4 linked regions of the Anolis sagrei genome follow. The protein of the gene in region 1 purifies or fractionates together with the protein of each later gene. This does not show direct contact. Links are inferred from orthologs where the notes say so. Each region holds a gene or a part of one and is shown in the gene's direction. Other genes may lie near its edges.

What was found.
Region 2: the proteins of SLC38A9 (region 1) and LAMTOR2 purify together in Homo sapiens (co-immunoprecipitation; 5 studies listed by BioGRID and IntAct, with this or other methods). This does not show direct contact. The link is inferred for Anolis sagrei from reciprocal best matches to the Homo sapiens genes SLC38A9 and LAMTOR2.
Region 3: the proteins of SLC38A9 (region 1) and LAMTOR1 purify together in Homo sapiens (co-immunoprecipitation; 5 studies listed by BioGRID and IntAct, with this or other methods). This does not show direct contact. The link is inferred for Anolis sagrei from reciprocal best matches to the Homo sapiens genes SLC38A9 and LAMTOR1.
Region 4: the proteins of SLC38A9 (region 1) and LAMTOR4 purify together in Homo sapiens (affinity purification with mass spectrometry; 4 studies listed by BioGRID and IntAct, with this or other methods). This does not show direct contact. The link is inferred for Anolis sagrei from reciprocal best matches to the Homo sapiens genes SLC38A9 and LAMTOR4.

Annotation. Positions count from the first base shown.
Region 1 is NC_090022.1:272,439,379-272,447,442, forward strand, and holds the start of SLC38A9 (neutral amino acid transporter 9), read left to right. Parts: upstream 1-4,776; 5' UTR 4,777-4,892; intron 4,893-8,064.
Region 2 is NC_090032.1:22,562,224-22,569,876, forward strand, and holds the start of LAMTOR2 (ragulator complex protein LAMTOR2), read left to right. Parts: upstream 1-4,325; 5' UTR 4,326-4,416; coding exon 4,417-4,484; intron 4,485-6,245; coding exon 6,246-6,408; intron 6,409-7,653. UniProt on the Homo sapiens protein: As part of the Ragulator complex it is involved in amino acid sensing and activation of mTORC1, a signaling complex promoting cell growth in response to growth factors, energy levels, and amino acids.
Region 3 is NC_090023.1:4,770,599-4,778,133, forward strand, and holds the start of LAMTOR1 (ragulator complex protein LAMTOR1), read left to right. Parts: upstream 1-4,194; 5' UTR 4,195-4,353; coding exon 4,354-4,395; intron 4,396-7,535. Other genes in the region: secreted frizzled-related protein 2-like, read right to left, coding at 1,134-1,270. UniProt on the Homo sapiens protein: Key component of the Ragulator complex, a multiprotein complex involved in amino acid sensing and activation of mTORC1, a signaling complex promoting cell growth in response to growth factors, energy levels, and amino acids.
Region 4 is NC_090026.1:581,020-588,549, forward strand, and holds the start of LAMTOR4 (ragulator complex protein LAMTOR4), read left to right. Parts: upstream 1-4,205; 5' UTR 4,206-4,301; coding exon 4,302-4,304; intron 4,305-4,399; coding exon 4,400-4,498; intron 4,499-6,198; coding exon 6,199-6,316; intron 6,317-7,530. UniProt on the Homo sapiens protein: As part of the Ragulator complex it is involved in amino acid sensing and activation of mTORC1, a signaling complex promoting cell growth in response to growth factors, energy levels, and amino acids.

The DNA of each region.
Region 1 (8,064 bases):
GTTAAGGGCTCTGGGAAATAGCAGAGTCAAGAAAGGACTCTGGGAAAAGTAGTTTAGTCCGGTGGATGAGACCCGGGGAAGAGGTTCAGAGTCAGTTAGGGCTCTGGGTTGTGAAGCTGTGAGAATTCAGCAGTTCTTAGAATTTGTGAATATTTCTTCAGCAAGAGAGCTGAAGGTGTTACCTTGTTAGATTGCTTAGGTTAAAAGAATCTAACAGAGGGGGTTTAAAGGATCGCCAGTAAGGAAAGACTGGTGATCAGTGGTTTGTTCCGAGTATAGGGCAAACAGTGTGGATATTCACAATAGGGAACTCTGAAGTAGTATAAGCACTTCACTAAAGAAGGAGTTTGTAGAATTGTAACATCAGAAGCCTGAATGTATCTCAAACCAGCCATTTTGTAACATCAAGCCTTGTGCCAAGTTCAAATTCTCAAAACTGCAACAATTACGTTCTGTTAACAATAAAACTTGTTCTCTTTGTATTTCAAACCTGCCTCCTCCATTGCTTTTATGCTTGGTGCATTCCACACTACCAAAGTCACCTCACAACACAACTAAAGATAAACAGAGACATAAACCAGCGTCTCTAAACATATTGGTGGCAGCTTAATTGATATCTAAAAGAAGGTTCTTCACAGAATATTGGTGGCATTAAAGAAGATTAACGCTTCCTCACATAATTTTGGTGGCATCTAGTGGGATTAGCGCTTCTTTACACCAGGTACGCTACATCCACGGCATTCCCCGCATCTACCCAGCTTGTAACTCTATCGAAAAAAGAGATCAGATTAGTCTGGCATTACTTGTTTTTGATAAATCCATGTTGACTATTAGCGATGACCGCATTTGTTTCTAAGTGTTTGCAGACCACTTCCTTAACAATCTTTTCCAGAATCTTGCCCGGTATCGACGTGAGGCTGACCGGACGGTAGTTGTTTGGGTCATCCTTTTTTCCCTTCTTGAAGATTGGGACCACATTGACCCTCCTCCAATCTGCTGGAACTTCTCCCGTTCTCCAAGAACTCTCAAAGATGGTTGCCAATGGTTCCGAGATTACTTCCGCTAGTTCAGTGGTTCTCAACTTTCCTCATGCCGCGATCCCTTAATCCATTTCCCCATGTTGCAGTGACCACCAACCATAACAGTAATTTCGTTGCTACTTCATAACTGTCATTTTGCTACCGTTACGAATCATCGTGTAAATATCTGACATGCAGGATGTGTCTTCATTCACTGGACCAAATTTGGCACAAATACCCAATACGCCCAAATGTGAATACTGGTAGGGGTTTGAGGGGGGGATTGATTTTGTCATTTGGGAGTTGTAGTTGCTGGGATTTATAGTTAACCTTCAATCAAATAGCGTTCTGGGAATCCTTGACATACAGGATTCCTATGGCCAACAGAAAATACTGGAAGGGTTTCATGGGCATTGACCTTGAGTTTTGGAGATGTAGTTCACCTACACCCAGAGAGCACTGTGGACTCAAACAATAATGGATCTGGACCAAACTTGGCACGGATACTCTATTTGCCCTAATGTGAACACTGGTGGAGTTTGGGAACAATAGACCTTGACATTTGGGAGTTGTAGTGGCTGGGATTTATAGTTTGCCTACAATCAAAGAACATTCTAAACCCCACCAATTGGACCAAACTTCCCACATAGAACCCCCAGAACAAACGGTAAATACTGTGTTTTCTGATGGTCTTTGGAGACCCCTCTGACACCCCCTCACAACATCCCAAGGGGTCCCGACCCGCAGGTTGAGAAACGTTGCGCTAGTTCCTTCAGCACTCTTGGGTGTAGTTGATCTGGCCCTGGGGACTTGAACTCATTTAGAGCGGCCAGGTATTCCTGGACGACTTGTTTCCCAATTTGGGGTTGGATGTCCTCCAATCCCTCATCCACTCCATCTTGCTGAGGTTGAAGATGACTCTTTTTGTGAGAAGACCGAGGCAAAGAAGGCATTAAGTAGTTCTGCTTTTTTTCCTATCCCCTGTCAGCATTGCCCCATCTGGAATTAGATCCTGGGATATAGAGCAGTGTCTTTCCAGCCTGAAACTCAGCTGTGCAATACACTTTCTGAACAACAGAAGCCACACCATATCTGAAGCCATCGACTTCTGGACACTTTTGCTTCTGGTTAGGTCCTTTTTCTTTTGACAGAAACATGACAGGAAACAAATTTGCTAAGATGGTAGTATTGTCATGCAAAAAAAGATGCCCTCTTCCATATTTGCCAATTGTGCAATAGTTGAGAGTACAGATGCTTTTAGGGAGTGGAAAGTTAGCATATTTTTGTGCAGCTCAGCAAAACAACAGCTTCTTGGTGAGTGCTACAAACAGTTCTTTCCACTATGAACCAAAAGAATTGAAATAACCCATTATTTGTCTAAGAGCGTCATCTGGCAATGTTTCTCAAAAAGCAAGTCTTTGATTAGGTATAATGCATGGAATTTGCATGTTTACTTTTCAGCTCTTAAATCTGAAGTGTGTCTATTTGTAGTGTGTTCAAGGGTCAATTCAGCTGGATGTTTGAGTTTCTATGGCCTCTTCCACACAGGTGTATAAAATCCACATTGAACTAGATTATTTGGCAGTATGGAGTTAGGGCCCTTCCACACAGCCATATAACCCAGAATATAAAGGCAGAAAATCACACGATATCTGCTTTGAACAGGATTATCTGAGTCCACACTGTCATATTTTAGTTCAAAGCAGATACTGTGGGATTTTATTCAGCTGTGTGGAATAAATAAAAGAAAACTACTGCAACCTCTTGTACATGCATAAAAGTAATTCAGTTTGACACCACTTTAACTTCCACAACTCAATACTACAGAACCCTGGGATTTTAGGTTTGGTAGCCTCCAGCTTTCCTTGCGAGAGAATGCTAAAGAACTTGCAAAACAACAACTCCCAGGATTCCATCCCATTGAGCCATGGCAAAGTGATGCCAAAGTGCATTATATCTATAGTATAGATACACCTAAGCCGCAGGGACTGAAGAAAGCTACGGTAATTAAATATTTATGTTCTCCACACTGTTTGTTTTGCAACTTCTGTCCTCAGCTGTTCTTTACTATGTTTTGCTAACATCAGTTCTTCAATATCTCAAGCTTTTGTGTGTGAGGAAGATAATCAGTCCCAACACATACATTTTTGCCTTTGCATCATCAGCCTCCTCTACAGTGCCATATAAAATCCAGATTATCTGCTTTGAACTGGATTATATGACAATGTTGACTCATATAATCCAGTTCAAAACCAATAATGTGGATTATCGGCTTTTATAATCTGGATTAAATGGCAGTGTAGAAGGGGCCTTCCTCAGTTCTGTTTACTACAGTCCTTTCCAGATGAGATTGTCACAAACTATTGTGTGGATAATGAACACAAAATAGCACGCACAAAATAGCATTGCGATGTACTGTTTCAAAATTGTTTCAGGGCCCTTCTACACTGCCATAAAACCCAGATAATTCACATTATCTTATTTGAACTGGATTATCTGAGGGCCTTTCCAGACAGACCCTATATCCGAGGATCTAATCCCAGGTTATCTGCTTTAAACTGGATTATATGAGTTCGTACTGCCAGATAATCTGGGATAAGCATAAAACCTGGGATATAGGGGCTGTCTGGAAGGGATCAGAGGCCCCTTCTACACTGGCAGAAAATCTAGATTATCAAAGCAGAAAATCCTCATTATCTGCTTGGAACTAGATTATCTTAGTCTACACTACCATATAATCCAATTCAAAGCAGATGTGGATTTTATATGGCAGTATAGATGGGTCCAGAGTCTATACTGATTTATAATCCAGTTCAAATCAGATAATCTGGATTTTATACAGCTGTGTAGAAGGGGCCTCAGTCCCTTTCCTCACAATCCATAGTTTAATTTACTTTTAAAGTCCTGAGCTTCAGGTTCCTTCAATACTGCCATAGAATCCAGATTATCAAATCATATAATCCACATTATCTGCTTTGAAATGGATTATATGGCAGTGTGGACTCAGATAACCCAATTCAAAGCAGATATTGTGGATTATCTGCCTTGATATTCTGGGTTACAGGTCTGTGTGGATGGGTCCTGAGTCCATACTGCCAAATTACTCAGAATATCAAGACAGAAAATCCCACTTTACCTGCTTTGAACTGGATTATATGGTAGTGTGGACTCAGATAACCCAGTTCAATTGTGTATCATCTGCCTTGATATTCTGGATTATAGGGATGTGTGGCAGGGTCCTGAGTCCATACTGCCAAATTACTCAGAATATCAAGACAGAAAATCCCACTTTATCTGCTTTGAACTGGATTATATGGTAGTGTGGACTCAGATAACCCAGTTCAATTGTGTATCATCTGCCTTGATATTCTGGATTATAGGGATGTGTGGCAGGGTCCTGATTCCATACTGCCAAATTACTCAGAATATCAAGACAGAAAATCCCACTTTATCTGCTTTGAACTGGATTATAGGGCAGTGTGGATTCAGATAACCCAGTTCAATTGTGTATCATCTGCCTTGATATTCTGAATTATATGGCTGTGTGGAAGGTTCCTGAGTCTACACTGCCATATAAAGTAGTTGGAAGGATATAATCTAGATTTCCCGTGGCAGAGTAGAAGGGGTCATAGATAGGAAAGATGTTATGGGTAAAGCGAAAGGAAAGAAAAGCGGTGATCTATAATTTCTAGCTCTATGTTTCCCTGGTGAAGCCTAGGCACAGAAGGTGTGTTCACTCTAATGGAAATAGCTCTACGGCGCACCACATGCTGGAAGCTCCATCTCCCTCCTTCCTGTTGATGTTCTTTGGCCGGGAGGGAGGGATCCGACCCACATCCTGGGGAAAGGCATGGGCAGGCAGATCCTTTGCAGGTAAGAGGGCATCTCACTACTTTTCATTCGATTGCTTGCTCTATTTGGGGTATCATGCTTTGGGATCTGTATAAAGCAGGTAATGTGGGATTTTATGCAGCTGTCTGGAAGGGACCCAAGTGGAGCAAGTGCCTGAATTGTTTGCAAAGAGGATCATGATCATGAGCCCACTTCTAGAATAGTTTGGGACATTTAAACAGCCTAGAGCCGCATTTATGATTAGCAGCCATGTCATAGCTTTTGGAAGACTATTAAAATAGTTTTCACATTTCCAAAACTTCATGGATGTTGGGAGGATGGGGACGAGGGACAGGGCCTTCTCTGTGGTTGGCCCCACTTTGGAACACCCTCCCCAAAGACATTACACTAGCACCTACGTTGGCAGTCTTTAGGAAGAACTTGAAGACCTGGTTATTCCGATGTGCCTTTCCAGAATAGGATAACCTTCAGCACTACATCCCGAAAGCACTTTATTAGAGCTTAAGACTCTCTGCACATTGCACTTGCCCAGAATCCCAACATATCACCTCTTATACCCAGCACTTTTTAACCTGTACCCTTCATTGGCCCGGCCCTGGTTTTACTGCGTAATAATGTAATGTTTTGTTTTTGTTATTGCTTATGTTTTTAATTTACTTGCATTGTATTGTTATTGTTTGTTGTTGTTGTTGAGCCCTTGGCCTTTGTAAGCCGTATCGAGTCCTTCGGGAGATGCTAGCGGGGTACAAATAAAGTTTAATAATAATAATAATAATCTATGCGCATTCAGAAGAAGATCTACAAGCCACTTCGCAGAAGTATATGAGAAGCTCGGCCTGTCATTGAACATCAAGAAAACCAAAGTGCTCTTCCAGCAGGCACCAGCATACAACTCCCATGTTACGCCAGCTCCACTGGCTGCCAGTTTGCTACTGGGCACAATTCAATATTTGGCCTATAAAGCCCTAAACATTACCTGTCCAAACGCATCTCTCCCTATGAACCATCGCGGAGATTAAGATCCTCCAGGGAGGCCCTGCTTTCCGCCCCACCATTGTCACAGGCACGATTGGTGGGGACGAGAGACAGGGCCTTCTCGGTGATTGCTCCCCAGCTATGGAACTCCCCTCCTGGTGAGATCAGGTCGCACCCCTTCCTCCTGTCCTTTAGAAAGATGGTTAAAACTTGGCTGTGGGACCAAGTTTTCGGGACAGGGCAATAAAGCATTACCAGGCCGATTAGATTTGATGTGAATGACTCAGACGGTTTTAAATGGTGTATTTTAATATTTTGATAAATGTTTTTAATGTTTATGTATGTATATAAGAATTTGTGTCCCGGCATTGAATGTCTGCAGTATATATGTTTGCTGTGCTCCGCCCTGAGTCCCCTTCAGGGTGAGAAGGGCGGAATATAAAAATAAATAAATAAATATCCCTCTCCAATGCCAGAAATACATTTTAATGGTGCAACATTAGAAAATGTTGACCATTTCCACTATCTTGGCAGTCACCTCTCCAAAAAGTCAACATCAACACTGAAATACAACACCGCCTGAGCTCTGCGAGTGCCGCATTTTTCTGAATGAAGCAGAGAGTGTTTGAGGACTGGGACATCCATAGGAAGACCAAGGTGCTTTTTTATAAAGCTATTGTCCTCCTAACTCTGCTATACACCCGCGAGACATGGACTATCTACAGACGTCACATGCAACTCCTAGAACGATTCCATCAGCGCTGCCTCTGGAAAATCCTGCAAATCTCCTGGGAAGACAAGCGGACAAATGTCAGCGTGCTGGAAGAAGCAAAGACCACCAGCATTGAAGCGATGGTCCTCTGCCATCAGCTCTGCTGGACCGTCCACGTTGTCCGGATGCCCGACTACCTTCTCCCAAAGCAGTTGCTCTACTCTGAACTCAAGAATGGAAAGCAGAATCTTGGTGGGCAGGAAAAGAGATTTAAAGATGGGCTCAAAGCCAACCTTAAAAACTCTGGTATAGACACTAAGAACTGGGAAGCCCTGGTCCTTGAGCGCTCCAGCTGGAGGTCAGCTGTGACCAGCAGTGCTGTAGAATTTGAAGAGGCACAAATGGAAGGCGAAAGAGAGAAATATGCCAAGAAGAAGGAGTGTCAAGCCAACTCCGACTGGGACCGCCTTCCACCTGGAAACCAATGCCCTAACTGTGGGACAACATGCAGGTTGAGAATAGGGCTCCACAGTCACCTATGGACCTGCCACCAGTACACCGATCTTGGGAGACAATCCTACTCAGACAACGAGGGATCACCTAAGTAAGAAGTAAAGTAGTAGTTAGAATGGCAAATAATGAATCTTTTGACAATGATAAAGGTTGGCAGCCTGTTTTTAATAAAAGACAGTCATCTAAGGGTCCTTCCACACAGCCCTATATCCCACAATATCAAACCAGAAAATCCCACATTATCTGAGTGTGGACTCAGATAACCCAGTTCAAAGCAGATATTGTGGGATTTTCTGCCTTGATATTCTGGGATATAGGGCTGTGTGGAAGGGCCCTAAGTAAGATAGTCTTGAGTAGTGTTTTGAAAGCAGACAGAAAAATCATTCAATTAGTTTGGTAGCCATGCTACATTCTGAATCAGACATAAGGGCAGCCAGATATTCCAGTTTAAAGCAGATACTGTTGGTTATTCTGCCTTGATATTCTGGGTTATAAGGCAGTGTGGAAGAGCCCTTATTATCTGCTGAGTTTTGCTTCCAGGACCTCCTGTGGATACTAAAGTACATGGAAACTGGAATCCCATTATATATAGTGGTGCAGTAAAATTGTGTCCCTTATTTAAAATGGAAAATCAAACTTTGTATTGTGTGTGTGTGTGATATTTTCAAACTGTGGATGATTGAATAAATGGATGCAAAATCCGTGGATATAGAGGACCAACTATATGGCTGAAAGAGTAAAATTAATATGTAGTTAAACCCATCAGGAAGATGAAAGACAATTTAAAACGTGCAGTTAAAAACAACACAAACAATACAAAACAACAATTTAAGCAATGCACTGAAATTGCATGCTTGTGGTATCAATGTACCGTATTTTGAAATCATAATCATGGTCATGATTAGGCAATGCTAAATAATAACAACAGCCTTTCAGATGAAGGTGGTGGTCCTAAACATAATCTGAATTACAAAACCTGCCCTTATTTTCAAG
Region 2 (7,653 bases), on another chromosome or scaffold:
CACACACACACACACACACACACATTTCTTTCCTACCCAAACAGCAGGCTTTTAATGTAATATCTTCCTTGAATTTTTGATTTAATATCTTATTAATATTATTATTATTATTATTTTGGGATCTTTCAATGGTTTCTCTTTTGCAAAACACGCATGCAAATCCTTCTCTTCAACCCAAACACACATTTAACATTAATTAACATTCATAATTAATATTAGAAATTCATGCACCGAGTTTGTTCATAGGCTTCCGAGGATCGTGCCACTAGCTTTAAAGTGGTTTCAAACTGGGTTAATTCCACCGTGTGGACGCTTAAACTGCTGAGCTGCTGAACATGCTGACCAAAATGTAGGCGGCTCGAATCCAGCGAGTGGGGTGAGCTCCCACTGTTAGCCCCAGCTTCTGCCAGCCTAGCTGTTCAATAATATTTTCACAAATCCCGATGACATCTAGACTTATTATTATTATTATTAGGCCGCCCAGTAGCGCAGCGGGTTAAACTGCTGAGCTGCTGAACTTGCTGACCAAAACGTAGGCGGCTCGAATCCAGCGAGTGGGGTGAGCTCCTGCTGTTAGCCCCAGCTTCTGCCAACCTAGCAGTTCAGAAACATGGAAATGTGACATTGATTGATTGATTGATTGATTGACTCTAAGCTGCACCAGTTGCTATGGAATTCCACGCAACGGGACTCCGGCCATGTTTTCCTTTTATGACATCACATAAAAGTCTTGATCTGTGGCAGTCGGGCCCCGATCGGGCCTTTGCCATGCAGGGCCTGCCGTGGTGTGGGCTCCTGTGGTTCTTCTGCCGGCCTGCTTGGGCCGCCCGACACATAGTGGACAAGCCGGACAACTCCGCTGCCGGGCTGAGCTGGGGGAACGTGGTCGTGATCTTCGCTGTGGTCTTCCTCTTGGCTTTGGGTGTCAAGTGGCTGCGGGACAGGATCCTCGCCGAAGGGGCCAACAAAGCAAAGGTGATTCCTGGGTGGCCTCCCTCCCTCCTCCTGGGGTATCCGCACCGGGTTTTAGTCTGAACTTTACGAGCCCTAACGATGGTGCTTGTAACCGTACTGTATGCTTTGAGAAATAAAGCCTTTCCAGACTGTCTTTGAGGTAATTTCTTCTCTGCAGATGAGGACTATCCTCATCATCTTGCCTTTCCTTGCCGCTCGAGGCAGGGTATGTCAGAGTTCAGACGTTGCCCAGCGGAAGGAAGGCTAGATCAGCAGACACTGAGTTGCAAAATCAGGACTCCGCAGGCTTTGAGTTACAAAAGAAACTAAGTTTACTAAGCACATTCCACAGACACGTCTTACTACAGCGAGCTACAATTCAGGAAGTAGTACGGTTACAAGCAAAGTTCCATCTGACAGTTGCTTTCCTTCTCAACCCATATAGAGATATATGGGTTGAGAAGGAAAGCAACTGTCAGATGGAACTTTGCTTGTAACCGTCCCCTTCACAGCCCTATTTCTCTGTGGTTCACCTGGGCCCCCAAGTCCTTCTCTACGGGTGTTGCAATCCCACCTGGGCCCCCAACTGAGTGCCCTCTTTGCCCCCGTGTCCAGGAGGGCTGTCTGTCCGGCGAAGAGACCCTGGAGTGCCGTCTCTGCCAGAGCTTCTCCCAGATGGAGCAGGAGCTGGTCAAGCAGGTGACGCTGGTGCGCAACCTCAAGGCCGACCTCTCCTCGCGCCACAGCACCTGCACGGTCCCCGGGTGCCAGCGGGGTCAGCGGAGCCGCAGCGGCAGCAGCATCGGAGCCTTTAACCTGGTGGTCTACGACGTGGCCGAGGAGAAATGAGGACACAATACCAGCATGAGAAAGCAGCCAAGTGGCGTCCGTTGCTTCTTACCCTTTACTTGGGGGAGGGTTCTAGACCAAATGTGTCAGAATAAATATTTATTTATTTATTTATTTATTTACAGTATTTATATTCCGCCTTTCTCACCCCGCAGGGGACTCAGGGCAGATCACAATGCACGTATACATGGCACATCTTCGATGCCACACAACATATATAGAGAGAGATACAGAGGCTATTTACACCTAATAGGCAGTAAGAGCACCTAAAGCTTCTGAGAGCTTCTGTTCAACCATCTCAAAGCTCCCTGCTTGGGCGGTGGTGGCACGATCGTCAGCATAGATGAAACTCTCCATCCCTTCTGGCAGTGGCTGGTCATTTGTGTAAATGTTAAACATGAGGAACTGTATTTAGAGGCAATAAGAAGACTGAGAAGTCCGAGAGCTTCTGTTCAATCATTGCAAAGCTCCCTGCTTGGGCAGTGATGGCATGATCGTCAGCGTATATTAAACTCTCTGTCCCTTCTGGCAGTGGCTGGTCATTTGTGTCAATGTTAAACATGCATGGGAGCAGGCCGTTCTTCAGTTTCTGCCATCTGCTTCTCTGGCCCTGGAACTCAACAAAAAAGCTCCTGTTTTGTAGCAGATTTCCTATGAAGTCCTTTTTTATATTCTATGTTCTTCTCTGCATTTTATATGGAATAGAAATCAGTCAATTTTCCCTGTAATAGACAGTAAGAGCACTTAAAGCTTTGGAGAGCTTCTGTTCAACCATTACAAAGCTCCCTGTTTGAGCGGTGATGGCATGATCGTCAGCGTATATCAAACTCTCTGTCCCTTCTGGCAGTGGCTGATCATTTGTGTCAATGTTAAACACGAGGAACTGTATTAAGAGGCATTAGGAAGGTTGAGAAACACTGACCTAAATCTTCGGAGAGCTTCTGTTCAACCATTACAAAGCTCCCTGCTTGAGTGGTGATGGCACGATCATCAGCATAGATGAAACTCTCTCTCCCTTCTGGCAGTGGCTGGTCATTTGTGTAGATGTTGAACATGGATGGGGCAAGCACGCTCCCCTGAGGCAGGCCGTTCTTCTGTTTCCGCCACCTGCTCCTCTGGCCATGGAACTCAACAAAAAAGCTCCTGTTCGGTAGCTGATTTCCTTGAGTGGTGATGGCACGATCGTCAGCATAGATGAATCTCTCTGTCCCTTCTGGGAGTGGCTGGTCATTTGTGTAGATGTTGAACACGAGGAACTGTATTAAGAGGCATTAGGAAGGTTGGGAAACACTGAGCTAAGGCTTCGGAGAGCTTCTGTTCAACCATCTCAAAGCTCCCTGCTTGAGCGGTGATGGCACGATCATCAGCATAGATGAAACTCTCTGTCCCTTCTGGCAGTGGCTGGTCATTTGTGTAGATGCTGAACATGGATGGAGCGACTCGCTCCCCTGAGGCAGGCCGTTCTTCTGTTTCCGCCATCTGCTTCTCTGGCCCTGGAACTCAACAAAGAAGCTCCTGTTTTGTAGCAGGTTTCCTATGAGGCGGGTGAGGTGGTCGTCCTTTGTGATACTATACATTTTTCTCAGGAGGAGGCAGCGGTGGTTCACAGTCTCATAGGCTTCTGACAGGAGGTGGTGAAAATCAGGGAGGAATAAAGCCAGGCAGTTCAGGTGCCGCTCTAGGCCCCGCTCCTCGTCTTCTCTCCATTGTCTATATGAGGGAGAGGAAAAGAGACGGGCGGGCTAGAGCGGAGCGGAAGTGTTGCCTGCCGGAAGTGTCCGTCTGGAGAGGAGACTCCATTTCCCGGCGTGCCCCGCGGGATTGTGAGGGAGGGAGGGAAGAAGACAGCCAAACCATAGAGATCTCAAAGCCCGGCCCTTCAGGTACCGCTCTAGGCCTCACCCCTCGTCTTCCCTCCATTGTGTATCTATGTAGATAAGAGAGAGAGGCGCGCGGGCTAGAGCGGAGCGGAAGTGCTGCCTACCAGAAGTGTGGGTGTGGAGGGGAGACTCTAAGGAGGGCGACAGCGGCGGCCATGCAGTTCAGGTCCTGCTCTAGGCCCCTCGCCTCGTCTACCCTCCATTGTCTATATGGGAGAGGAAAAGAGACGGGCGGGCTAGAGCGGAGCGGAAGTGCCTGCCTGCCGGAAGTGTCCTTGTGGAGAGGAGACTCCATTTCCCGGCGTGCCTCGCGGGATTGTGAGGGAGGGAGGGAGGGAAGAAGACAGCCGAACCATAGAGATCTCAAAGCCCGGCCCTTCAGGTGCCGCTCTAGGCCTCACCCCTCGTCTTCCCCCCATTTGTGTATCTATATAGATAAGAGAGAGAGGCGCGCGGGCTAGAGCGGAGCGGAAGTGCTGCCTGCCGGAAGTGTGGGTGTGGAGGGGAGACTCTAAGGAGGGCAACAGTGGCGGCCAGGCAGTTCAGGTGCCGCTCTAGGCCCCTCGCCTCGTCTACCCTCCATTGTCTATATGGGAGAGAAAAAGAGACGCGCGGGCTAGAGCGGAGCGGAAGTGCTGCCTGCCGGAAGTGTCCGTGTGGAGAGGGGACTCCAAGGCCTGGCCTTCTCCTCCTCTTCCTCCTCCGGGTTCTCCTCCTTCTCCTTCCGAGAGCGATGCTTCGCCCGAAGGCGCTCACGCAGGTCCTGAGCCAGGCCAACACCGGCGGCGTGCAGAGCACCCTGTGAGTGTCTCCCTCGATTAGCTAGGCCTCACTTCCGGCCTCTCTAGGAACGCCTCTCCCTCCATTCGCAGAGGCCTAGTCCTCACAACAAGAGTCATAATAGTCATAATAATAATAATAATAATAATAATAATAATAATAATAGAATCCTTCCCTTCTATCATCATAATAATACTAATAAGAGTGGGAGTGAAGGAGCCAGCCCCCACTTCCGGTGTGGCTTGGACTACATCTCCCAGAATCCCCTCTGCCTTGTCACCCTCCTCCTCCTCTTGGGCTTCTTGGGGGCCAAAGTTAGGATCACTTGACTGTATCTATCCACAAGGGAAACATATTATTATAATAGTATTGCTATTATATTATTTACTATTATTATATTGTATATTTGCAAGGGGAGGAGTATATTAGTATTTTATTATTACTATTACATTATTATATTATATATGTAAAAGGGAAGAATTACAGTATTATTATTATTATTATTATATTGCGGTATATATTCGCAAGGGAAGTAGTATATTATTATTATATTACTATTGCTATGACATTATTATATTGTATGTGTACAAGGGAAGTATTACATTATTATTATTATTATTATTATATTACTGTATATATTTGCAAGGAAGTAGTATATTATTATATTACTATTATATTACTATTACATTATTATTATTATATTACTGTATATATTTGCAAGGAAGTAGTATATTATTATATTACTATTATATTACTATTACATTATTATTATTATATTACTGTATATATTTGCAAGGAAGTAGTATATTATTATATTACTATTATATTACTATTACATTATTATTATTATATTACTGTATATATTTGCAAGGAAGTAGTATATTATTATATTACTATTATATTACTATTACATTATTATTATTATATTACTGTATATATTCACAAAGGAAAGATGATATTATTATATTATTATTGTTATTATATTATTTACTATTATTATATTATATATGTAAAAGGGAAGAATTACAGTATTATTATTATTATTATTATATTACGGTATATATTCGCAAGGGAAGTAGTATATTATTATTATATTACTATTACGTTATTATATTGTATGTGTACAAGGGAAATATTACATTATTATTATTAGTATTATTATATTACTGTATATATTCACAAGGGAAACATTAGTATTGTTATTATATTATATATGTACATGGGGAGAATTACATTATTATTATTATTATTATTATTACATTATGGCATATATTTGCAAGGGAAGTAGTATATTATTATTACATTACTATTGCTATTACATTATTATATTGTATGTGTACAAGGGAAATATTACATTACTGTATATATTCACAAGGGAAACATATTATTATATTAGTATTGTTATTATATTATTTACTATTATTATATTATATGTGTACAAGGGAAGAATTGCATTGGTATTATTATATTATGGTATATATTCACAAGGAAAGTAGTATATGATTATTATAATATTATATTACTATTACTATCACATTATTATATCATACAATATATGTAAAAGGGAAGTATTATATTAATTTATTTACAACATTTATGTCCCGCCCTTCTCACCCTGATTGGACTCAGAGCGGCTTACAAGTTATTTGTACATACAAGATAGTATATTATTATCATAACAAAATATAAGTAGTATATATTACTATATAGTACTATATGTTGTTATTATTATTATTGCAGTTATTATTGTGATGCTATTATTATTCTGATTATTGTTCCCAGGCTGCTGAACAACGAGGGCTCGCTGCTGGCGTACTCGGGGTACGGGGACACGGACGCGCGGGTGACGGCAGCCATTGCCAGCAACATCTGGGCCGCTTACGACAAGAACGGCCACCAGGCCTTCAACGAGGACCACCTCCGCTTCATCCTCATGGACTGCATGGTGCGCACGCCGGGGCATGACTCCTCAGAATCATAATAGCAATAATAATAATAATAATAGCAATAATAAGGGTCTCAGAAGCAGGATGATAACAATAACAATGCATTTCTCAAAAGCAGGATGATGATAATAATAAGGTTCTCAGAAACAGGATAATAATAATAATAATAATAATAATAATAATAATAATAATAATATTTTTTTATTTATCTTGTCAGGAGCAACCAGATTATTATTATTATTATTATTATTATTATTATTAATAATAATGATCTCATATGCAGGGTAATAATAATATGGTTCTCAAAAACAGTATCATAATAAAAATACTCAAAAGCAAATAATTATTATTATTTATTTCTAGTATTTGTACCCCGTCTCTGAATTTTATTTTATTATACATTATTATATTACTGTACGTATTCTCAAGGGAAGTAGTATATTATTATTATATTATTATATTACTATTACATTATCATATTATATATGTACAAGGGAAGTAGTATATTAGTATTACTATTATAGTACTGTACATATTAGCAAGGGAAGTAGTATATCATTATTATATAATTATATTACTATTACATTATTATATTATTTAGGTACAAGGGAAGTAGTATATTAGTATTTTATTATTATATTACTATTACTATTGCATTATTGTATTATGTATGTAGAAGGGAAGTATTACATTATTATTATTATATTACTGTACATATTTGCAAGGGAAGAAGTATATTATTATATTATTATATTACTATTACATTATTATATTGTATGTGTACATAAACAAGGCCGCTACCATCACAATTACAATAATATAAACACAATCAAATACAAACATCATCATAATAATATTCTTGAAGCAGGATGATAATAATAATAATAATAATAATAATAATAAGGTTCTTGAATCTGCATAAGAATAATAGTAATAATAATAAGGTTCTTGAAAGCAAGATAATAATAATATTAACAACAAGGTTCTCGAAAGCAGGACAATAATAATAATGTTCTTGAAAGCAGGGCAATAGTAATAGATGATTACCTCTGAGGATGCTTGCCATAGATGCAGGCGAAACGTCAGGAGAAAAATTGCCTCCAGAACATGGCCATAGAGCCCGGAAAAACCTACAACAACCCGATAATAATAAGGTTTTTCCTACAGGATCATACCATAGGATCACATGGGAGGACCTAGGAAATGCCTAGTCAGGACCGCAATGCATTGTTACCTGCCTGACT
Region 3 (7,535 bases), on another chromosome or scaffold:
CTTTAAGCTGCCATGGTTCGATGTTATGGGATCATGGGAGTTGTAATTTTGCAAGGTCTTTTGGCATATCTACCAATGAGTGCATCAAACTACAACTTCCCAAGGTATCACAGTATCCGGTGCATAATGGATGCAGTTTGGTGCCACTTTAAATTGCCATGGCTCAATGTTGTGGGATCATGGGAGTTGTAGTTTTGCAAGGTCTCTTGGCATACCTGCCAACGAGTCCATCAAACTACAACTTCCCAAGATATCACAGTATTGGGTGCATAATGGATGCAGTTTGGTGCCACTTTAAACTGCCATGGCTCAATGTTATTAAGTCATAGGAGTTGTAGTTTTGCAAGGTCCCTTCGCATTTCTGCCAAAGAATGCACCAAACTACAACTTCCTGAAGTCATGGGAGTTGTAGCTTTGCAAGGTCTCTTGGCCTATCTGTGAATTAGTGCATCAAACTACAGCTTCCCAAGATATCACAGTATTGGGTGCATAATGGATGCAGTTTGGTACCATTTTAAACTGCCGTGGCTCAATGTTATGGGATCATGGGAGTTGTAGTTTTGCAAGGTCTCTTGGCATTTCTGCAATGAGTGCACCAAATTACAACTTCCCAAGATAGCACAGTATCTGGTGCATAATGGATGCAGTTTGGCACCACTTTAAACTTCCATGACTTATTGTCAAGGGAGTTATAGTTTTGCAAGGCCTTGCCAAAATTCTTTGCCAAAAACTGATACAGTTCCCAGGTTTTTCTCTGCCAAAGACTTCTGGTAGTAAATACAACTCCCAGGTTTCCACACCATTGCTAAAGTAGGGTCAAACAAACTGAATTAATTTTGCAGTGCAGATGCACCCTTGATATACCTGCTGTGTGTTTGGGGATGGGTCCAGTTGCAAGGCCCCTTCCCCACAATGGGGGGGGGGCTTGAACCCCAATCCTTCATGCCCCCCCCCTTTCCTAAAAAGCAAAGCCTTGGAAACTCTGCTCTTTGCATGCAAAGACTTTCTCTTTGGAGCAAACCAGAAACCCTCTCTCAACCCATCCTGGTTGCTCCCCATTTGGGGGGTCCCCACCTCCCCAAGACCCCTAAAGACTAAGCTTCACCTATTAAGCAAAAAACAGTTTCACAAACCCTGCTTCTGGATGGTCCAAGAAGGAAGAAGAAAAGCAGGGAAACCTAAAAAGGAGGAAGGAAGGAAAGAAGGAAATGGGTGGTCCCTTTAAAGGACAGGAAGCCCCCCCCCAAAAAGGGAGGGGCAGCAGGGTCATAAAAGGGGAGGCTTGCAATGAGGAGGGCTGCAATAAGCCTTCTCCTTCCAAAACAATGGGAATGTGGGAAGGATAAAAAGGAAGAGGAGGAGAAAAGAAAGGGCTGGAAAGGACAAAGAGGCTGGGAATTGCCTTAGTCTGCCCATCTGCTTAGGGGTCAGGCTATATGACCTCAATCCCTACCTGGAATTATGAGGACTCCAACTGGACACAGGGCTATTCCAGGGAAAGTTTGGCCAATGAAGAAAAGGTTGAGACTAGGACTTTAAGAAGCTCAAGAAATGGGTTGAGGCCATGTAGTCTGGCCCCAGAGTCCGGCTTTGTGGGAAGGAGCATTCAAAGGGCATGCAGTCTGACCCCAGAGCCCAGGTTTGTGGGAAGGAGCACTCAAAGGGCATGCAGACTGACCCCGGAGCCCAGATTTGTAGGAAGGGGCACCCAAAGGGCATGCAATCGTACCCCAGAGCTCAAATTTGTGGGAAGAGGCACCCAAAGGGCATGCAGTCTGACCCCAGAGCCCAGATTTGTGGGACGAGGCACCCAAAGGGCATGCAGTCTGACCCTAGAGCCTAGATTTGTGGGAAGCGGAACCCAAAGGGCATGTAGTCGTACCCCAAAGCCCAAATTTGTGGGAAGGGGCCCCCAAAGGGCATGCAGTCTGACCCCAGAGCCCAGATTTGTAGGAAAGGGGCAGACAAAGGGTATGTAGTTCGACTCCAGAGTCCTGCTTTGTGGGAAGGGTCACCCAAAAGGCATGCAGTCTGACCCCAGAGCCCATATTTGTAAAAAGGCGCATCCAAAGGGCTTGCAGTCGTACCCCAGAGCCCAAATTTGTGGGAAGGGGCACCCAAAGGGCATGCAGTCTGACCCCAGAGCCCAGATTTGTAGGAAAGGGGCAGACAAAGGGTATGTAGTTCGACTCCAGAGTCCTGCTTTGTGGGAAGGGTCACCCAAAAGGCATGCAGTCTGACCCCAGAGCCCATATTTGTAAAAAGGCGCATCCAAAAGGCTTGCAGTCGTACCCCAGAGCCCAAATTTGTGGGAAGGGGCACCCAAAGGGCATGCAGTCTGACCCAGGAGCCCATATTTGTAAAAAGGCGCATCCAAAGGGCATGCAGTCGTACCCCAGAGCTCAAATCTGTGGGAAGGGGCATCCAAAGGGCATGCAGTCTCATTCCAGAGCCCGGATTTGTGGGAAGGGGCACCCAAAGAGCATGCAGTCTGACTCGAGTGCAGATTTGTGGGAAGGGACACCCAAAAGGCATGCAGTCATACCCCAGAGCCCAAATTTGTGGGAAGGGACACCCAAAGGGCATGCAGTCGTACCCCAGAGCCCAAATTTGTGGGAAGAGGCACCCAAAGGGCATGCAGTCTGACCCTGGAGTCTAGATTTGTGGGAAGGGGCACCCAAAGTGCAAGCAGTCGTACCCCAGAGCCCAAATTTGTGGGAAGGGGCACCCAAAGCGCAAGCAGTCATATCCCAGAGCCCAAATTTGTGGGAAGGGGCACCCAAAGGGCATGCAGTCTGACCCCGGAGCCCGGAATGAATATCGTTGCTGTGTGGAGCCATGGAAAGAAGCCTGCTGGTCCCCTCAGTCAGGAAGTTCTTTCTCATGTTCAGATGGAATCTCCTCTCTTGTGGTTTGAAGCCATTGTTCCATTGCGTCCTAATCTCCAGGGAAGCAGAAAATAAGCTTGCTCCCTCCTCCTCCCTGTGTCTTCCTCTCACATATTTATACATGGCTATCACGTCTCCTCTCAGCCTTCTCTTCTTCAGGCTAAACATGCCCAGCTCCTTAAGCCGCTCCTCATAGGGCTTGTTCTCCAGACCCTTGATCATTTTAGTCGCCCTCCTCTGGACACATTCCAGCTTGTCAATATCTCTCTTGAATTGTGGTGCCCAGAATTGGACACAATATTCCAAATATCAGCACCAGACACATTAAAACATTATCATCACAGTTAAAAGATCCAAATCGTCCAAAACCATCACTGTATAATACATTATAGAGTATATATATATATATATATATGATAATATAATTACCCAAACTCTATAATAGATATATTATAGATATAATATAATAGATATAATAGTTACCCAAACTAATATAGAATGTATAATAAAATATCATTAATAATGTATACTAAAATTATAATATAATAATAGATATAATATAGTTACCCAAACTAGTATATAATATATAATAAAATAATATATAATTTATAATGTATACTAAAATAATATATTAATAACAATATATATAAATAATATATATAATATAATAATAAATATAATATATAATAAAGCTATAAGGCAATTATGGCAGCAATTATATGAGTGCGAGCAATTATAAGAGGGATATGGCTTTGAAACTGACTTTTATCGCTTCAGGAAATAATATAATATATAGTTACCCAAACTAGTATATAATATATAATATAAAAATATATAATTAATAAAGTATACTATAATATATTAATAACAATATATAATATAATATTAATAGTAAATATAATATTATAATAAATATAATATAAATATAATATATAATAAAGTTACAAGGCAATTATGGCAGCAATTATATGAGTGCGAGCAATTAGAAGAGGGATATGGCTTTGAAACTGAAGGAAAGAAAGAAAGAAAAAGGGAAGGGAGGAAAAACTAAACTAAGCCTATTGCGCATGCGCAGCCAGTGTTTCGCAAGAAAAAAAAACCCCAAACACATCACGTGATCGCCTCCTGCGAGAAAAGGCAGGGCAGGAATGGAAATTTCCGCTCCGCCGTACGCAATGCGCATGCGTCCCCTTCAGACTGAGAGCGGATTGGCTAGCGCGTGAGCTCAGAGCCCGGCCTCCCTTTGGGATGATCACGTGAGCCAGCCCCACCCTCCCCAGCATTGCCAGAGTCCCCGGATGTTGACAGAGTCTAGAGTTGCCTTCACGTGACCGGAAGTGAGGGCGGAAGTGAGGGGGAAAGTGAAAAAGGAAGCACTGCGAGGGGAGCAGCGGCAGAGGGTCCGTCGGCGGGCCGGTGGGCGGCTTCTTCGGCCTCCTCGTCGTCCTCCGCAACCGCTGCCACCATGGGCTGTTGCTACAGCAGCGAGAACGAGGCCTCGGACCAGGTCTGGGCCCAAAGAATGGGGGGAAAGGGAGGGGCCCCTAAAGGTCATCAAGACCAAACCCAGAGGGACAAACCTGGGCCTTTTGGGGTTTGCTGTGGGCCCACTTTGGTGGTCATGAGGGTTCTGTGTGGGAGGTTTGGCCCAATTCTATCGTTGGTGGGGTTCAGAATGCTCTGTGATTCTAGGTGAACTATCAATCCTAGCAACTACAACTCCCAAATGTCAAGATTCCATTTCCCCCAAACTCCACTAGTGTTCACATTTGGGCATATTGAATAGCCATGCCAAGTTTGGTCCAGATCCATCACTGTTTGAGTCCACAATGATCTCTGGATGTAGGTGAACTACAACTCCCAAGCTCAATATCAATGCCCACCAAACCCTTCTAGTGTTTTCTGTTGGTCATGGGAGTCCTGTGTGCCAAGTTTGGTTCAATTCCATCATTGGTTGAGTTCAGAATGGTCTTTGATTGTAGGTGAACTATAAATCCCAGCAACTACAACACCCAAATGTCAAGATTCTATTTCCCCCAAATTCCACACGTGTTCACAGTTGGGCATATTGAGTATTCATGCCAAGTTTGGTCCAGATCCATCATTATTTGAATCCACAATGATCTCTTGATGTAGGTGAACTACAACTCCCCAACTCAACATCATTGTTTGTGTCCACAGTGCTCTCTGGATGTAGGCGAACTACAACTCCCAAACTCAACATCAACGCCCACGAAACCCTTCTAGTGTTTTCTGTTGGTCATGGGAGTCCTGTGTGCCAAGTTTGACCCAATTCCATCATTGGTTGAGTTCAGAATGGTCTTTGATTGTAGGTGAACTATAAATCCCAGCAACTACAACTCCCTAATGACAAAATCAATTTTTTTTAGTGAAGGACATAGATTGGACTATTACGTGTCTTGTGTCCAAATCTGGTGTCAATTCGCCCAGTGGTTTTTGAGTTCTGTTAATCCCACAAACGAACATTACATTTTTATTTATATAGATCAAAAGTATTGCATAAATTAGTATAAAACCCATAAAAATAGAAGGAGCGCAAGTGGCTAAATATCTTTTGAACAAAAACGGGCAACAGCATTGTCTGTAGCCTCCAACAATTTTTCCTCTGTACATGAAGCAGGACACAATGGATAAGTATACAGATGCAGAGTTGTCTGTTCTGCTCCACGGTGGTCCACTCTCTCGTTACATCCCGAATAGACTACTTTATTTATTTATTTATTTATTTATCTATCGTGTCAGGAGCAGCCAGACAGTTTGTATTACATTTTTGACAGAACAAACAAACAAACATACAAAAGACACAAAGTTTGCCAGTTTGGTAGTGGATTAAATGTCCTTTGACCAGTATCTGGCTTCTTGGAGTGCCTCTGGTGTTGCCGCAAGGAGGTCCTCCATTGTGCAAGTGGCAGGGCTCAGGGTGCATTGCAGCAGGTGGTCTCTGGTTTGCTCTTCTCCGCACTCGCATGTCGTGGATTCCACTTTGTGGCCCCATTTCTTAAGGTTGGCTCTGCATCTCGTGGTGCCAGAATGCAGTCTGTTCAGCTCCTTCCAAGTCGTCCAGTCCACTGTGTGCCCAGGGGGGAGTCTCTCATTTGATATCAGGTTCTGGGTTTGAGCCTGCCACTTTTGGACTCTCACTTGCTGGGGTGTTCCAGCAAGTGTCTCTGTAGATCTTAGAAAACTATTTCTAGATTTAAGTCGCTGACATGCTAGCTGATACCCAAACAGGGGATGAGCTGGAGATGTCTCTGCCTTGGTCCTTTCACTATTGGCTGCTACTTCCCGGCGGATGTCAGGTGGTGCAATACTGGCTAAACAGTGTAATTTCTCCAGTGGTGTAGGGCGCAGACACCCTGTGATAATGCGGCATGTCTCATTAAGAGCCACATCCACTGTTTTAGCGTGGTGAGATGTGTTCCACACTGGGCATGCATACTCAGCAGCAGAGGAGCACAGCGCAAGGGCAGATGTCTTCACTGTATCTGCTTGTGATCCCCAGGTTGTGCCAGTCAGCTTTCGTATGGTATTGTTTCTAGCACCCACTTTTTGCTTGATGTTCAGGCAGTGCTTCTTGCAGGTGAGAGCACAGTCCAGAGTGACTCCCAGGTATTTGGGTGCGCTGCAATGCTCCAGTGGGATTCCTTCCTTCTCAGGTCATCCTCAGAGCTCGGGATGCTTGTCTGTTCTTAAGGTGAAAGGCACATGTCTGTGTTTTAGATGGATTAGGGATCAGCTGGTTTTCCCTGTAATAGGCAGTAAGAGCATCTAGAGCTTCGGAGAGCTTCTGTTCTACCATCTCAAAGCTCCCTGCTTGAGCAGTGATGGCATGATCATCAGCATAGATGAAACTCTGTCCCTTCTGGCAGTGCGACCAGTATAAATCTGATAAAAATAGAAGGAGCACAGGCAGCTAAATATCTTTTGACCAAAAACGGGCAACAGCAACGACATTGTCTGTAGCCTCCAACAATTCTTCCTCTGTACATGAGGCAGGGCACAGCGGACAAGCATACAGATGCGGAGTTGTCTGTTCTGCTCCACAGTCACATAAGGTGTGGGTTTCTTTTAGGTGGTGCCATTTAGCCAGGTTGTCTTTTGATCTGCTCACTCCGCTTCTGAGTTTGTTCAGGGATTTCCAAGTGGCCCATTCTTGGTTTGCCCCTGGAGGAAGACCCTCCCTCTTGGGGGGCCATCCAGTTGGTATTTCCTGGTTGAGCTGCCCAGAAGGAGACCCTTGCTGTTGCTGGGGGAACGTCAAAAAGAGTCTTGGATCTCATGAAGGTTTTCCTTGACTTGAGTCTACTGGGAGGAGGCTGACAGCCATGCAGTGGGTGGCTGCTATGAGCTCACAGTGGCGCAATAGGTTATACCCTTGAGCCAGCAGGATTGGAGACAGACAGGCTGGAGGTTCGATTCCAGGGAGAGCGCGGATGAGCTCACTTTGTCAGTTCCAGCTCCCCATGTGGGGACCTGAGAGATGCTTTCCACAAGGATGGTAAAACATCAAAACATCCCGGCGTCCCCTGGGCAACATCCTTGCAGACGACCAATTCTCTTACACAAAGAAGCAACTTGCAGTTTCTCAAGTTGCTCATGACATGAAAAAAGTGGGTGGCTTTCACA
Region 4 (7,530 bases), on another chromosome or scaffold:
TAAGTCAGAGAGTCACAAAAAGGAAACAGGAACCCAGTTATGTGCGCTGGGTCAGGCAGCAACAGAATCCATTGTCCGGCCCTTGGGGAACTACAACTCTCACAAAAGGGCAGAAGTCCCAAGATCCAGCCATTTCCCAAAAAGCCTCGTGGGGTCCTTGTTGTTGTCAGTGCCTTGGCAATGTGGTCAAGACTTAACCCTTGTTGTGTAGTCTGGTGACCTTGCCCTTTGCAGAACTATAAGTTCTTATCCCTTAATTCTGAAAGGGGGGGGGGGGTGCCTGACATCATCACCAAAGATAATCAGAAAACACAGTATTTTCTGTTGGTCATGGGGGTTCTTTGTGGGACGTTTGGCCCAATTCTATTGTTGGTGGAGTTCAGAATGCTCTTTGGTTGTAGGGGAACTAAAAATCCCAGGAATCACGACTTCCAAATTCCACCACTGTTCACATTTGGGCATATTGCGTACCCATGCCAAGTTTGGTCCAGATCCATCATTGTTTGAATCCACAGTGCTCTCTGGATGTAGGTGAACTACAATGTCCACCAAACCCTTCCAGTATTTTCTTTTGGCCATGGGAGTTCTGTGTGCCAAGTTTGGTTCAGTTCCATCTTTGGTGCATTTCAGAATGCTCTTTAATTGGAGGTGAACTATAAATCTCAGCAAACTGTAACTCCCAAATGACAATATGAATATCTCCCCCCCCCCCCCCAACAGTATTCAGATTTGGGAGTATCGAGTATTTGTGCAAAATCTGGTCCAGTGAATGAAAATACATCCTGTGTATCAGATATTTACATTACAATTGATACCAGTAGCAAAATTATAGTTATGAAGTAGCAACGAAAATAATTTGATGGTTGGGGGTCACCAAAACATGAGGAACTGTATTAAGGGGTCACAGCATTGGGAAGGTTGAGAAACACTGATATTTGCTGAATTTCAGATTGCTCTTTAATTGTAGGTGAACTATAAATCCCAGCAACTACAACTCCCAAATGTCAAGGCCTATTTTCCCCAGATTCCACCAGTGTTCACATTTGGGTGTATTGAGCATTGGTGCCAAGTTTGGTCCAGATCCATCATTGTTTGAGTCCACACTGCTCTCTGGATGTAGGTGAACTACAACTTCCAAACTCAAGGTCAATGCCCACCAAACCCTTCCAGTGTTTTCTGTTGGTGATGGGAGTTCTGTGTGCCAAATTTGGTTCATTTCCATCTTGGTGGAGTTCAGAATGTTCTTTGGTTGTAGGTGAACTATAAATCCCAGCAATTACAACTCCCAAATGTCAAGGTATATTTTCTCCAAACTCCACCAGTGTTCACATTTGGGCATATGGAGTATTCATGCCAAGTTTGGTCCAGATCCACCATTGTTTGAGTCCACACTGCTCTCTGGATGTAGGTGAACTACAACTCCCAAACTCAAGGTCAATGCCCACCAAACCCTTCCAGTATTTTCTGTTGGTGATGGGAGTTCTGTGTGCCAAGTTTAGGTCAATTCCATCATTGATGGCGTTCAGAATGCTCTTTGATTGTAGGTGAACTATACATCCCAGCAACTACAGCTCCCAAATGGCAAAATCAATCCCTCCCACCCACCCTACCAGTATTCAGATTTGGGCTTATTGGGTATTTGGGCCAAATTTAGTCCAGTGAATCGAAATGCATCCTGCAGATCAGATATTTACATTACGACGAATAACAGGAGCAAAATTAGAGTTATGAGGTAGCAACGAAAATAATGTTCTGGTTGGGGGTCACCACCCACGTGAGGAAGTGTGTTAGGGGGTCACGGCATTGGGAAGGCTGAGAACGGCTGTGCTAGGGGGTCAATACACACTCGAAAGTGCTGGTTCTCATTCGTGCACATTTTGCAGTTTGAGTTAGCACACCTTGTGCATCGGCCCCCTTGGCCAGCTCCCGTCTGGAGCAATGCCTTGGCTGAATGCATTGGACACTACGGAAGTGCTCAAGAGACGGCGTTGGGCTCCTTCCCTTGCAAGGGCCCTCAAGCAAGGCAGGCATCTGAGCAGAGGCACATCTTGCTCGTTAATAAATAACACGACTAATGTACAGCTGGTGTCTTCAAATACAATGTACTCCCAAATTATATTGGACAGAAATGGAAGTGAGGCCACGCCAGGAAGACTAGCCACGCCAGGACAACGCCCACCATCACTCCAGGAGGACAACAGCTGTCTAGACTCACAGCCATGGGGCTACCTGCAAGCCAATGTCTAGAATCATAGAATCAAAGAGTTGGAAGAGACCTCATGGGCCATCCAGTCCAACCCCATTCTGCCAAGAAGCAGGAATATTGCATTCAAATCACCCCTGACAAATGGCCATCCAGCTTCTGCTTAAAAGCTTCCAAAGAAGGAGCCTCCACCACACTCCAGGGCAGAGAGTTCCACTGCTGAACGGCTCTCACAGTCAGGAAGTTCTTCCTAATGTTCAGATGGAATCTCCTCTCTTGTAGTTTGAAGCCATTGTTCCATTGCGTCCTCGTCTCCAGGGAAGCAGAAAACAAGCTTGCTCCCTCCTCCCCCCTGTGGCTTCCTCTCACATAATTATACATGGCTATCATATCTCCTCTCAGCCTTCTCTTCTTCAGGCTGAACATGCCCAGTTCCCTAAGCCGCTCCTCATAGGGCTTGTTCTCCAGACCCTTGATCTGTTCCCTCTTCCCTGTGGCTACCTCTCACATATTTGTACATGGCTATCATATCTCCTCTCAGCCTTCTCTTCTTCAGGCTAAACATGCCCAGTTCCCTAAGCCGCTCCTCATAGGGCTTGTTCTCCAGACCCTTGATCATTTTAGTCGCTCTCTTCAGGACACATTCCAGCTTAGAGTCAATATCTCTCTTGAATTGTGGTGCCCAGAATTGGACACAATATTCCAGATGTGGTCTAACCAAAGCAGAGGGGTAGCATTACTTCCTCTAACTCAGGCCCAGGCCACCTTCAGCCCTCCCTCCCTCCGGGTGTTTTGGACTTCAACTCCTACAATTCCCAACAGCCTACCAGCTCTTAGGAACTGTGAGAGTTGGAGTCCGAAACCTCTTTGCGCCTAGGAGGACAAACCCTGTCGCTGTCTCCACGCCTTCTCCCTCTATTTGCCAGTTCTTGATTTAAATGAAAACTAAATGGATCGGTACAGCAGACCGTGGGGAGAAGACAGAGGATATGGTCAGCTAGCCCCACATGGGATGATGCAGTTGCTCAAAGCCAAAAAAATAACTGGGTGGCCATCTGTCAGAGGTGCTTTAAATGTGCAGGGCAGAAGGGGGCTGGACTAGGTGGCCTTTAAAGATCTCTTCCAACACTATTATTATTATTATTATTATTATTAGAAACATAAAATGACTCCACAGCAGACACTCATTATTATGATTATGATTATTATTTGAAATACAATAAGATGAGTCCACAGTATACTATTATTATTATTATTATTATTATTATTATTATTATTGAGGCTGGATTGCCATCTTTCAGGGGTGCTTTGATGGTGCTTCCCCTGCATGAAGGCAGAATGGGGTTGGACTAGATAGCCTTTGAATGTCTCTCCCAACTCTATTATTATTATTATTATTATTATTATTATTATTATTGAGGCTGGCTGGCCACCTGTTGGGAGTGCTTTGATGGTGCTTTCCCTGCAAGGCAGAAGCGGATTGGACTAGATGGCCCTTAAATGTCTTTTCCAACTCTATTATTATTATTATTATTGAGGGTGGATGGCCATCTTTCAGGGGTGCTTTGATGGTGCTTCCCCTGCAGGAGGCTGGACTAGATGGCCTTGAAATGTCTCTCCCAACTCTATTATTATTAGTAGCAGCAGTAGTAGTGTTGAGGCTGGGAGGCCATCCGTCGGGGGTGCTTTGATGGTGCTTTCCCTGCATGAAGGCAGAAAGAAGGGGGCTGGGCTGGCTGGCCTTTGGGGGTCTCTCCCACTCTTTCCCTCTGATCCTGCGCTGAGGGCCCTTCCTTCTCTCTCTTTGGGAGATTCCGGGGAAGAAGGGGCCCTCCCTCCTGAGGCCAGGCATCCCTCTTCCCTCACTTCCGGTCCCTCCGCGCTGCTCCTCCTCCTCATTGGGCGGCACGCTTCCTCGTAGTCTTTGATTGGAGGAAGCCACGGCTACGCCACGCCCACTCATCCACGGGAGCCAATGGGAGGCCGGCAGGGAGCGGGGGAAGAGCGCCTATTGAGGGCGGGACGCCTAGCGGAGCTGCAAGGGTGTTGCCGGAAGTTGGAGGCCCTCACGTGACGCGCGGGCCCCTTGGCTGTGGAGATGGTGCGTTGCCAGGGCGACCGGGAGGGGAGGGACTGGCCCCCCTGGCCCCCCTCTTCCTGTGCTCATCCGGGTCTCTCTCTCTCTCCCTCGGGCAGGCTTCCTCTGCGGCGGCGGCGGCGGCGCTGACCCAAGGGCTGGAGCGCGTCCCCGACCAGACCGGGTACCTCGTCATCTGCGACGGAGCCGTCCTGGCCGTGAGCAAAGGGGGCGGGGCCTGCGGGAGGAGGGGCGGGGATTAAGAAAAGAGAAGATTGAGAGGGGGCGGAGTCTGGGAGAGAAGGGGCGGGGCCTGCGAGAGGGGGCGGGGTCTGGGTGAGAAGAGGCGGGGGCTGCGAGAGGGGGCGGGGTCTGGGATTGAAGGGGCGGGGATTAAGAAAAGAAATTTGAGAGGGGGCGGAGTCTGGGAGAGAAGGGGCGAGGCCTGCGGGAGGAGGGCGGGGTCTGGGAAAGAGGGGGCGGGGCCTTGAAGAGGAGGGGCGGGGATTAAGAAGCGGAAGCAAACATTGAGAGGGGGCGGAATCTGTCTGAGAAGGGGCGGGGCCTGCGAGAGGAGGGCGGAGTCTGGGATTGAAGGGGCGGGGAATAAGAAAAGAGAAGATTGAGAGGGGGCGGAGTCTGGGAGAGAAGGGGCGGGGCCTGCGGGAGGAGGGCGGGGTCTGGGAGAGGAGGGGCGGGGATTAAGAAGTGGAAGCAAACATTGAGGGGGCGGAGTCTGGCTGAGAATGGGCGGGGCCTGCGAGAGGAGGGCGGAGTCTGGGATTGAAGGGGCGGGGATTAAGAAAAGAGAAGATTGAGAGGGGGCGGAGTCTGGGAGAGAAGGGGCGGGGCCTGCGGGAGGAGGGCGGGGTCTGGAAAAGAGGGGCGGGGCCTGGGAGAGGAGGGGCGGGGATTAAGAAGTGGAAGCAAACATTGAGAGGGGGCGGAGTCTGGCTGAGAAGGGGCGGGGCCTGCGAGAGGAGGGCGGAGTCTGGGATTGAAGGGGCGGGGATTAAGAAAAGAGAAGAATGAGGGGGTGGGGTCTGTGAGAGAAGGGGCGGGATTTGTATAGGAGGGCGGGGCCTCAGAGGGGGCCTGGGAGGGAGGAGCGAGATATAGGAGGGCGGGGCCAGAGGTGGAGGGGGCGGGGCCTGAAAGAGGAGGGGCGGGGCCTAGTTGGAGATCAACAGGGGCAGGCTGGGCTTGGGTTAGCTGTGTGTTTTCCTGGCACTGTGTGGACAATGTCACCCGGCAGCACTCTCTCCTGACGTTTCGCCTCCATGTCTGGCTCCTGGCTTATTCATAATCACTTACAGCATTATTGTGATGGCACGCCGGGGTAAAAGGAAAACTCTATGTCTGGCTATTCCCGGTGGATATTGGTATACCCTCTGATGTACTTTAGTTCTTTAAAATATTTTATTTATTTATTTATGTATTTATTTATGGCATTTCTATGCCGCCCTCCTCACCCCGAAGGGGACTCAGAGCGGCTTACAAGGTTTATATTACATGCAATATATTATATAATTAGCATAGTACAATATCAGCATTAAACATTGCTATATTGCACCATACCACCATATTGTAATATTATTAGTAGTATTACATGTAATATAAATATATAATAATAATAATAATAATAATATATTATTATTATTATTATTATTATTGCATGACATTATAATATTATAAATATTCTATGTATATCCAATATATTATATTATTAGCCTGACACAGGAGACTAGATGGGGCTGTCTTCCTGGGCCCCTCTCTTCTATTTTAAATCTTTTAATTGTGTATTGTGGATTGTTATGGGGTCAAATTGCTTCCAAAAGGTGGGGCATAAGCAAACCTAACTGATCATAATGGTAATTCTCCTCCTCCCTGGTTGACCCTCTCCTTCTCCCTTTTGCAGTCTGCGGGCGACCTGGAGAATGACGAGCGCACGGCGGCGGCCCTCTCGGAGCTGGCCAGCACCGCCTGCGCCTTCCGCCTGCCCCGCTCCACGGAAGTTCCCTTCCGACGCATCTCAGGTGAGAGCAGAGGGAGGGGAGGCCTTCTCTGCGGACCCCCCCCCCCCCCAATTCCATGTAGTGCTGGAGGTCAGTGTGGGGCTGTTGTGTTGTGTATCAGCCTTACTCCTGCAGGATTCTGGGAAATGCAGTCAACAGCAGAGTCTTTGGGATTCTGAGCCAAGCAGGTCCCACCTCTCCTGAACTACATTTCCCAGAATTCTGCTGCAGGTTGATGCTGTGATGCATGACTGGAGTACCTCTCCCCTCCCAACCTTGTGGCTGCCTTTCCACCTCCTGCAGAGTGCTGGGATTTGTAGTTTGTAGTTTCTGGCCTGTGTATTTATGCCCCCCCCAATATTCCATTTACTGCTGGAGGTCAGTGTGGGCTTGGTGTGTTGTGTATCAGCCTTACTCCCGCAGGATTCTGGGAAATGTAGTCAACAGCAGAGTCTTTGGGATTCTGACCCAAGCAGGTCCCACCTCTCCTGAACTACTTTTCCCAGAATTCTGCTGCAGGTTGATGCTGTGATGCATGACTGGGGCACCTCTCCCCTCCCAACCTTGTGGCTGCCTTTCCAACTCCTGCAGAGCGCTGGGATTTGTAGTTTGTAGTTTCTGGCCTGTGTATTTATTTGTTTATGACCTTTCTTTGCCGCCCTTCTCACCCCCAAGGGGACTCAGAGCAGCTTATATATCTATCTATCTATCTATCTATATCTATCTCTATCTATCTATCTATCTATCTATCTATATATATATTAGGGCTGGGCGTTTCGTTTCGTAATTCGTTAAAAATCCGTTAATTTTTTGTTAACGAAGCGATAACGAACCATTCTGGAGCAACTTAAAAACGAAACGAATTTTTCAATTTGTTTCGTAAATGCTTCGTATTTCGTTATGTATTTGTTTCGTTATTGGTTTGAGATCGTTTCGTTATTATTTCCGCATGTCTGGGGCAAGTTTTATGGTTGTTTTTTGTTTAATTAGTGAAAAAAAATTATAATATCACACCAACAGTCAACAACAGAGGGAGAGGGAAGCTTCAGAAGTTTTTTCTGAAGTTTTTTAGCGTTTTGCGCGATCGCGGCCGCCATTAACGAATCGATTCGTTATTGTTTCGTTATTGTTTTGTAAATTTTTTACCATTTACGAAATTTCGCAAATACCGAACTTTTTTTAAGGAAAATTTTGTAATTATTTTAAATAACAAAACGCAAAACCCCCCAAAAAAC